2 linked regions of the Mus musculus genome follow. The protein of the gene in region 2 purifies or fractionates together with the protein of the main gene of each other region. This does not show direct contact. Links are inferred from orthologs where the notes say so. Each region holds a gene or a part of one and is shown on either strand. Other genes may lie near its edges.

Region 1 (3,652 bases), on a different chromosome or scaffold from region 2:
GCTGCCAAGAGAAACAGAATGGCCTCTGAAACATCATTGTCTAAGGCAGTTTCAGGAGGGAGTGTGGTCTGAGATAGGCCAGAACCCAAGCCCCTCCCCTCTCCATGCTTCCCTTCCTTGGACAGCCTGTCTCACAGGCTCTGCTGCCCAGCTGTGAGAGAGGTCAGATTGATTCATTTAGAGAGAGACCTGTAAATCTCAGGTAGCTTTAGTAGGAACATTGATTTCAGTTTGCTTATGTGATATTTATTTTCTGTTTAATCATTTATCTCATAGGTTAAATCATTTGTCATAATTTTATTTTGAATTATAATAGGAAAACATAGATTATGTTGATTTAATGAACCATGATCATACTTTTTAAGATTCAGAGTATAAGAGTTTTTGTTAATGGATTTAGAAATCCAAACCTTATTTAAGTCTTATTCCAAAATGTTTCTGCGGATCCTCTAGGATGGCCTAGTTACTTACTTGTTCATAGATATGTTAGAACTTTCCTTTGCATGAGAGGACTGTATGTATTATGACTATGAAGCATTTTAGTTGTATTTTCCTCAAGAGAATCCTTAGATATTGATCAATGGAATAAAGTTATTGAACAGCTAGGAACACCATCCGCAGAGTTCATGAAGAAACTTCAGCCAACTGTAAGGAATTATGTGGAAAACAGACCAAAGTACCCTGGAATCAAGTTTGAAGAGCTCTTTCCAGATTGGATATTTCCGTCAGAATCTGAGAGAGACAAAATAAAAAGTAAGGCACTCTTTTATCTCGCACTTGTTTCTCTAGCTCTTAACTCTAAAGTCCGTGTATGTCAAGAGGTGCAGTAATGGAAACCCTGAAATAGAGGCTCTCAGAGTCTGACATTCAAAGGCACCACAGAGGGAATGCTTTAAAGGACAAAAGTCTTGACCTTGCTAAAACATTGTCACTAAATACCCAGAGCAGTCTAGAAACCCCTTAGGTTACGCAGTGAGTGGGAAAACACTTGCCTGCAAGTGTGAGGATTTGAGCTTGTCTCCCCAGCATGACTCAAAGCACAAGTGTGGCTGCCTGTGCCTGTGACCCACACTCTGGGGTGGAGAGCAGTGGTCCTGGAAGCTTGGTGACAGCCAGTCTAGGGGAACTGGGTGCTTCTAGTTCAGTGAGAGACCCTGTTATAACAGAAGGAGGGGAAGAACAATAAGGCAAGACAGCCAACTTCCCCTCTAGCCTCAGAGTACATCTTACACTCAAACATTCATGTGCATATATCATACACGTTCACGCACACACATAAGACCCATATTGTGATGTCACCAATCTGAATTCAAAACAATTTCAAATATAAAGAATACTTCAATAAGGATTCTAGACAGAAACCATTGAGTGTGGCCCAGTGGGAAAGGCCCTCACTGTCCTAATGTGTCCTTCCTAGAATGTGGTCACCTGAGAAAAAACAATAGCTTTGCTGTCCTCCACACCGGGGTGAGCAGCACCTTGGTCACAAAAACCCCAGCTTTTCTTTGTGAACTTTTCATTGCTGAGACCTTGCTGAGGCTTCTTATTACGTTAATTAGCTTCTTGATTTTTTTCTTGGCTACTAACCTCTAGATTAAAAACAAAAGCACTGTTTACAGCTAGGCAAAGCAGTGGTCCCTGTGAGGCTATACTCTGGGACTGTGGGTTACTCAGAAGGTTTTAAATTTGTTCTAATGTAACACAAAGAATAATACTCCTGATACTTCATGTCCATACTCCTGGCAACACCATCCTAAGAGAGGTGCTTGCTACCTACTGTACTGTGGCTTCATAGCTTCAGGTCATCTGGACACTGGTCTGAGGTTACCTAGAACCCCCACCTCACATGCTAAAAGCCTGGTTTGTAATAGTGGCCATTGGACTTTTAAAGGTTGTGAGCCGTGTTGATCTTGAAACTCTTAAACATTTTCTGAAGTCAGCATGTCTCTTTACTGTCCATACGCTCACATTTGATTCTTTATTGTGTGGCTTCCTCTTTTCCACGGTAGCAACATAAGTACATCATTTGTTTACATCCTAGCAAGTCAAGCCAGAGATCTGTTATCAAAAATGCTAGTGATTGATCCAGACAAGCGGATCTCTGTGGACGAAGCCTTGCGCCACCCGTATATTACTGTTTGGTATGACCCCGCTGAAGCAGAAGCGGTAAGTTCTCTGGAAAAAACGTCTGCGTAGAGGGCTCACTTTAAAATACTGGGCCCACTGTCTTTGGATCTTCCTTCTGTTGGTCCAGAATGGCTACATGAGGATAGCAAGTTGTTACTTTTAGGGCCCTGACTTCAAAAATAGAAACCTTGCTACCTGAGGCCTAGGTTGGCCCCTCTCTTGGCACTGCTGCTGGGGCTGAAGCTGCAGAGCTCAGGAGTGCACTGTGGTGGATGTTGGCCTTATGTTTATAAAGCTGATGTGTAATAATAACTTAGGAAGCATCTGCTCATGCCTGGCACTGGGCCATGAGCTTTGCTTACATCTTAGTCAGAGCCTCAAGTCAGAGAACCTAAGCAGCCTTCCCAAGTGACACATTAGCTCACATCTCCCCACCACATCTGGGCATCTCACCCTCTTAAGTTTTCTTCACAGCATCCCTTGTAGATGTCCTTTAGTTATGAGTAAAATACTAACACAGTGGGTGTTCACTTCATGCCAGCTGGGGAGCACTGTTGTAGCCTGGGTATAGATGTAACTGCCATTGTACTGTTGTGTTACATCAAAAGAATCAGGTTTATGAGCAGCCAGGCTATGGAATGTTCCATTCGCGAGCTGCTGGCTTGGGCATGGGTGTCCTGTCAGGAAGAACTGTGAACTGGAAGTATATTCTAGGAAAGTACCACACCTCCCTCAGCCCCCACGCAGTTGACCTCAGAGCTGCCTATTGTTAGTAAGTTTGTGATTCCATTTGGGCTATGTCTGCAGAACATTTTGAGGTCATGTGATGTACTGGCTAGTTTTGTGTCAACTTGACACAGGCTGCAGGTATCACAGAGAAAGGAGCTTCAGTTGAGGAAATGCCTCCATGAGATCCAACTGTAAGGCATTTTCTCAATTGTTGATCAAGGGGGAAAGGCCCCTTGTGGGTGGTGCCATCTCTGGGCTGGTAGTCTTGGGTTCTATAAGAGAGCAGGCTGAGCAAGCCAGGGGAAGCAAGCCAGTAAGGAACATCCCTCCATGGCCTCTGCATCAGCTCCTGCTTTCTGACCTGCTTGAGTTCCAGTCCTGACTTCCTTGGTGATGAACAAGCAGTATGGAATTGTAAGCTGAATAAACCCTTTCCTCCCCAACTTGCTTTTTGGTCATGATGTTTGTGCAGGAATAGAAACCCTGACTAAGACATGTGATGATTGAGATTTATTATTGATGCTTGCTTTTGGTTAACTTTCTGTAACTGTTTTTTAAACTGATAAAATATTCTTTCAAAATAAACATCTAGAACATGTTAACTAAACTAAATCCATAAGTAGACTCGAAACATTCTAAGTAGCGTTATCTTCCGAGCATGGCCCATTAGTTTTGAGCTATCGACCTGACATGTCGTTTCAGCCACCACCTCAAATTTATGATGCCCAGTTGGAAGAAAGAGAGCATGCGATTGAAGAGTGGAAAGGTAAGACCGGTCCTTTCTTAGGACGTCCCA
Region 2 (3,908 bases):
ACAGCATAATAACATTCACCTGAGTTTAATATAAACTAAGCAATGTTCAGGTTTAGAGTTTAACAATGCCAGTTTAACCCCAGAATCAAATGACTTCATCTCCAAAGATCCAGAGGCTGGCTAGCTAGTGTCCTTTGCATTATCCGAGCAGGAAGACTGAAGTTCTGGGGGGGTCAAAGGACTCACAAGGTCACTCAGCTAGTGTGTTAGTGGCACAGATGGTCACACTCAGGGTGCACCTCACTCATTCTCACCCACCATGTCCTACGGCCTTGGTGTGGGAGGTCATTTAGTGTTCACAAAGGGAGACTTTCCTGAAGCATTACTCTTGGGTCTCTCAAAGCAAGCTTGTCTACAGACTGGTGAGAGAGATAGTTACATCCTGTTTGTTTCTTTGTCTACTGGGAAGCAGCCAGTGTGGGTGATTAAAGCTAAGGAACAAGTCTCTTTACTCCCTTCTCCTCTACCTTATCATTGACCTGCATTCCTCTGGGGACACTTCCTGGGGGATGTGTTTTAATCTAGAAATGTCACAAAAACTGTTGTCCAGTGCTCACAGGCATCCAAAGCTTTTAATATGAAACTCAACACTTTCTGGTGCTCTCTATTCTGAGCTACTTGGGAACCGTGCCTTCCAGATGATGGCCATGGAGGGTCAGGGTATGTGGAAGTGAGGAGTGAAACACTGCTGCCGAGGGCCATGAGGTAGACCAGTACTCTACAGGCCTCACTGATGACAGTTGGCATCTCTGATGAGAAGCTGAGTATAGGAACTTTCCAGCTGACCTTTAACCCTTCCCTTCTATGAAGTTTTAGTAAAACGCCATGCATTAAATGCTAACTCTTATAGAGAACAATCTGTAGGATAAAGGTGTGTGTGTGTGTGTGTGTGTGTGTGTGTGTGTGTCTAGCATGTGGAAGATATTGCTAATAGCACTGCATGTATCATGTAGTCATATAGCCTGGAAAGTGGTATGAACATTGTTAATCAGAAGACCTTTTTCACATGCCCATTTCTGTGCATGGCATAATCTCCATTCCTTCTCTCCTCCTTTCCCTACTTTTTCTTCCCTTTATGCCAGTGTTAAGAAAATAGAAAAGGAACAAGGTTGTCCAGAAAGAGGTCCGATAACTATGGGGTGCACAGTAGCTTGCTTCTCCTGAGTGTGTCCTGTTGTAGGTATAGCTTCTGCCTTCCCCATCTCCTGTGACATGTGCTTTTCCCACCCATGACTTCCTTGCTCTATCTTTCTAAATGTAGAGCTGTAGGGGACTGGGCAGATGGTTCAACAGTGAAGCACTCATGACACAAGCGTGAGAATCGGGGCTAGGATCCCCACAACTCACGTAAAAGCCACATAGCTATAGCAGCTTGCCTGGAATCCCATGGCACAAGAGACTGAGATGGGGTGCCCCAGAGCAAGCTGGCTATCCTGACCAGCAGAAATAATGAGCTCCAGATCCAGCAAGAGATGCTCTGTCGTGTAACATGGAGGGTGATCAAGTAGACACATGATACGGAACATGGTCTTCCACAGACACACGTGAACATGCATCAGCACTTATGCAAACATGCATCCATACCCACATGTACATTATACACACACATATACATACACACACATACCCTTCCCCCCTCAAAACAGTAAAGGGCCAATGAGATGGCTCAGTGAATAAAATAAGGTACTTGCTGCCAAGACTGACACCCTGCATCCAGTTTCTACTAATTCATATTGTGGAAAAACAGAACTGACCCTTACCAGTTGTCTGCTGACCTCTCTATGCACACAGTGGCATGTGGACCAACCCTGATTTTTCTTTTTTTAATAATTTAAGAAAATGTAGACCAACAGCTCCAATTTCTGATTGTGGCCCAACTCTATAGCTCGAGATTTGAACATGTAGAATCCATCATGCTTTGGAACCATTGAAATCCATTCTCTCTATGCAAAAGGAACCACTGTTGACTCAGGCAGAAGTTAAGCTTCCTCTGTCCCCCTTTCTTACCACTTGTCTCTCTGTCCCACAGAGGAAGCTCACCAGTGTGGGAAGGGCCTTCTCATCCACTGCCAGGCCGGCGTGTCCCGATCCGCCACCATCGTCATCGCCTACTTGATGAAGCACACACGGATGACCATGACTGACGCTTACAAATTCGTCAAAGGCAAACGACCAATTATTTCCCCGAACCTCAACTTCATGGGGCAGTTGCTGGAATTTGAGGAAGACCTAAACAACGGCGTGACGCCAAGAATCCTTACACCAAAGCTCATGGGCATGGAGACAGTTGTGTGACAACGGGCAGGACGGAAAGGGCTGTGCTCTCTCAGGAGACGAAAAGGAGGGAAGGTGGATTCTAGCTTGTCGCTCTTCTTTCCTTTCCTTTTCTTTTCTCTTCTCTTCTTTTCTTTTCTTTTCTTTTTCTTCTTTTCTTTCTCTTTCTTTCTCTCTTTTTTTTTAAGGTTGGGAGTGTTTGTGAAAGTAAACAAACTTGTCTAAAGACTCTATTTTTAATAAGTGTAAGAAGACTGTAACTTTTGATGCGAATGAGACCCACTTCTCTTAAACTGGTATTGCAGTTAGGTTAAAGAGGTCTTTTTTGTTTTGTTTTGTTTTTTTAAGCCAACAAATAAAAATATTATAAAACTTGTTTCTTCCCAGTTTCCCTTGTAAGCTTATTGTAGAGTTTTGAGTAAATAGTCTGTGCGGGCTCATAGACCGAAGATACCACCCTTCAATTACAAAGAACCAAAAGGAAATGGAAAAGACTCCAGACCTGGAACTGACTGCACAACCATGTCAAAAGCAAACCCTGCCAAACCGTGCCCAGTTGTGCTCACTGGTGTGAAGAAAGGGCCGGCAAGCTCAGTGGACTCGGCTCGCCTCACACCTTCTCTGGGGAGACAGGCTAGTGTCGGTTTTGTGTGTTCTATGCTCCGGATATCTTTTCCCCTTCTGTGGGTCTGAGAGAACTTTTTGTTTGTTTGTTTGTTTGTTTGTTTGGCAGAAGGAAACTGACCATTCTACCATGTGCCTTTGCTGGCACTCGTGCAATAAAAATGGTGTTTGGAGTGTGCAGCTGAGGGAGAGCTGGCAGCTGAGTGAGGAGTGGCGTTGGAGACAGGCATTCAACAGTACCAGTGGCTTCCCCTCCCTCCTTTCTCCTTCTCCCCCCCCCCTTTCTTCCTCATCCCCTTTTATTTGTCTTTCTTTTGATTTGATTCTGGTTACAGTGCCATACACCTTGTTACATATGTATATCAGAATGTAAAAAAACAAAACAAAAAAAAAAACAAAAATTTATTTAAAAAATATTTTTCGCAAAAAAAAAATATCCTTGGTGTGTTTTTGTTGATGGTGTAAGAATTTATTTTCATTATATAAATGAACCTCGTTTGGGGATGTGTCATTCTTTGTACGTGCCTGTCTTCTCTGGTTAGGCTCATACCTCTCAGCACGGGTTTGTATAAAGAGATGGGGATGAGAGTGTAAAGCGGGAGGGACCGCTCACGGAGGGAGGCTAAGGATCCCAGCACTGATGCGGTCCTCTGCTTCCTCCCCATCCTCTTTCTATGAGACAGCAGACTCATGATTGAGCAGCTTCCGCCAGACCTGATAACCAAATCACAGCCAAGCCGAGGATTTAGAATATACAGTTGTCTCCCTGGTAACTACATGTAAATATCAGTGACAATCTGCCTTGTATGGTTTTCACAGTCCCGTCTCAATTGACACTAGCTCACATGACACTTTTTAGGGACATTCACCCTATAGTAACAATAGTACAAGCTGCAAAAGATGTACTCTTCCAGTGTTTTTCCCAGTCAGTAGAAATCAGCTCTGTGTGCACACGGACTTTGACAGTGCTGGCTATTCAGCCCACAGACAGTTGGAAGTGGTGTGGGAAG

Evidence for each region.
Region 1: the proteins of Dusp10 (region 2) and Mapk9 purify together in Homo sapiens (affinity purification with mass spectrometry; 3 studies listed by BioGRID and IntAct, with this or other methods). This does not show direct contact. The link is inferred for Mus musculus from reciprocal best matches to the Homo sapiens genes DUSP10 and MAPK9.

What each region holds. Positions count from the first base shown.
Region 1 is NC_000077.6:49,877,661-49,881,312, forward strand, and holds part of Mapk9 (mitogen-activated protein kinase 9), read left to right. Parts: intron 1-570; coding exon 571-753; intron 754-2,041; coding exon 2,042-2,166; intron 2,167-3,558; coding exon 3,559-3,622; intron 3,623-3,652. UniProt on the Homo sapiens protein: Serine/threonine-protein kinase involved in various processes such as cell proliferation, differentiation, migration, transformation and programmed cell death.
Region 2 is NC_000067.6:184,072,229-184,076,136, forward strand, and holds the end of Dusp10 (dual specificity protein phosphatase 10), read left to right. Parts: intron 1-2,029; coding exon 2,030-2,295; 3' UTR 2,296-3,408; downstream 3,409-3,908. UniProt on the Homo sapiens protein: Protein phosphatase involved in the inactivation of MAP kinases. Has a specificity for the MAPK11/MAPK12/MAPK13/MAPK14 subfamily. It preferably dephosphorylates p38.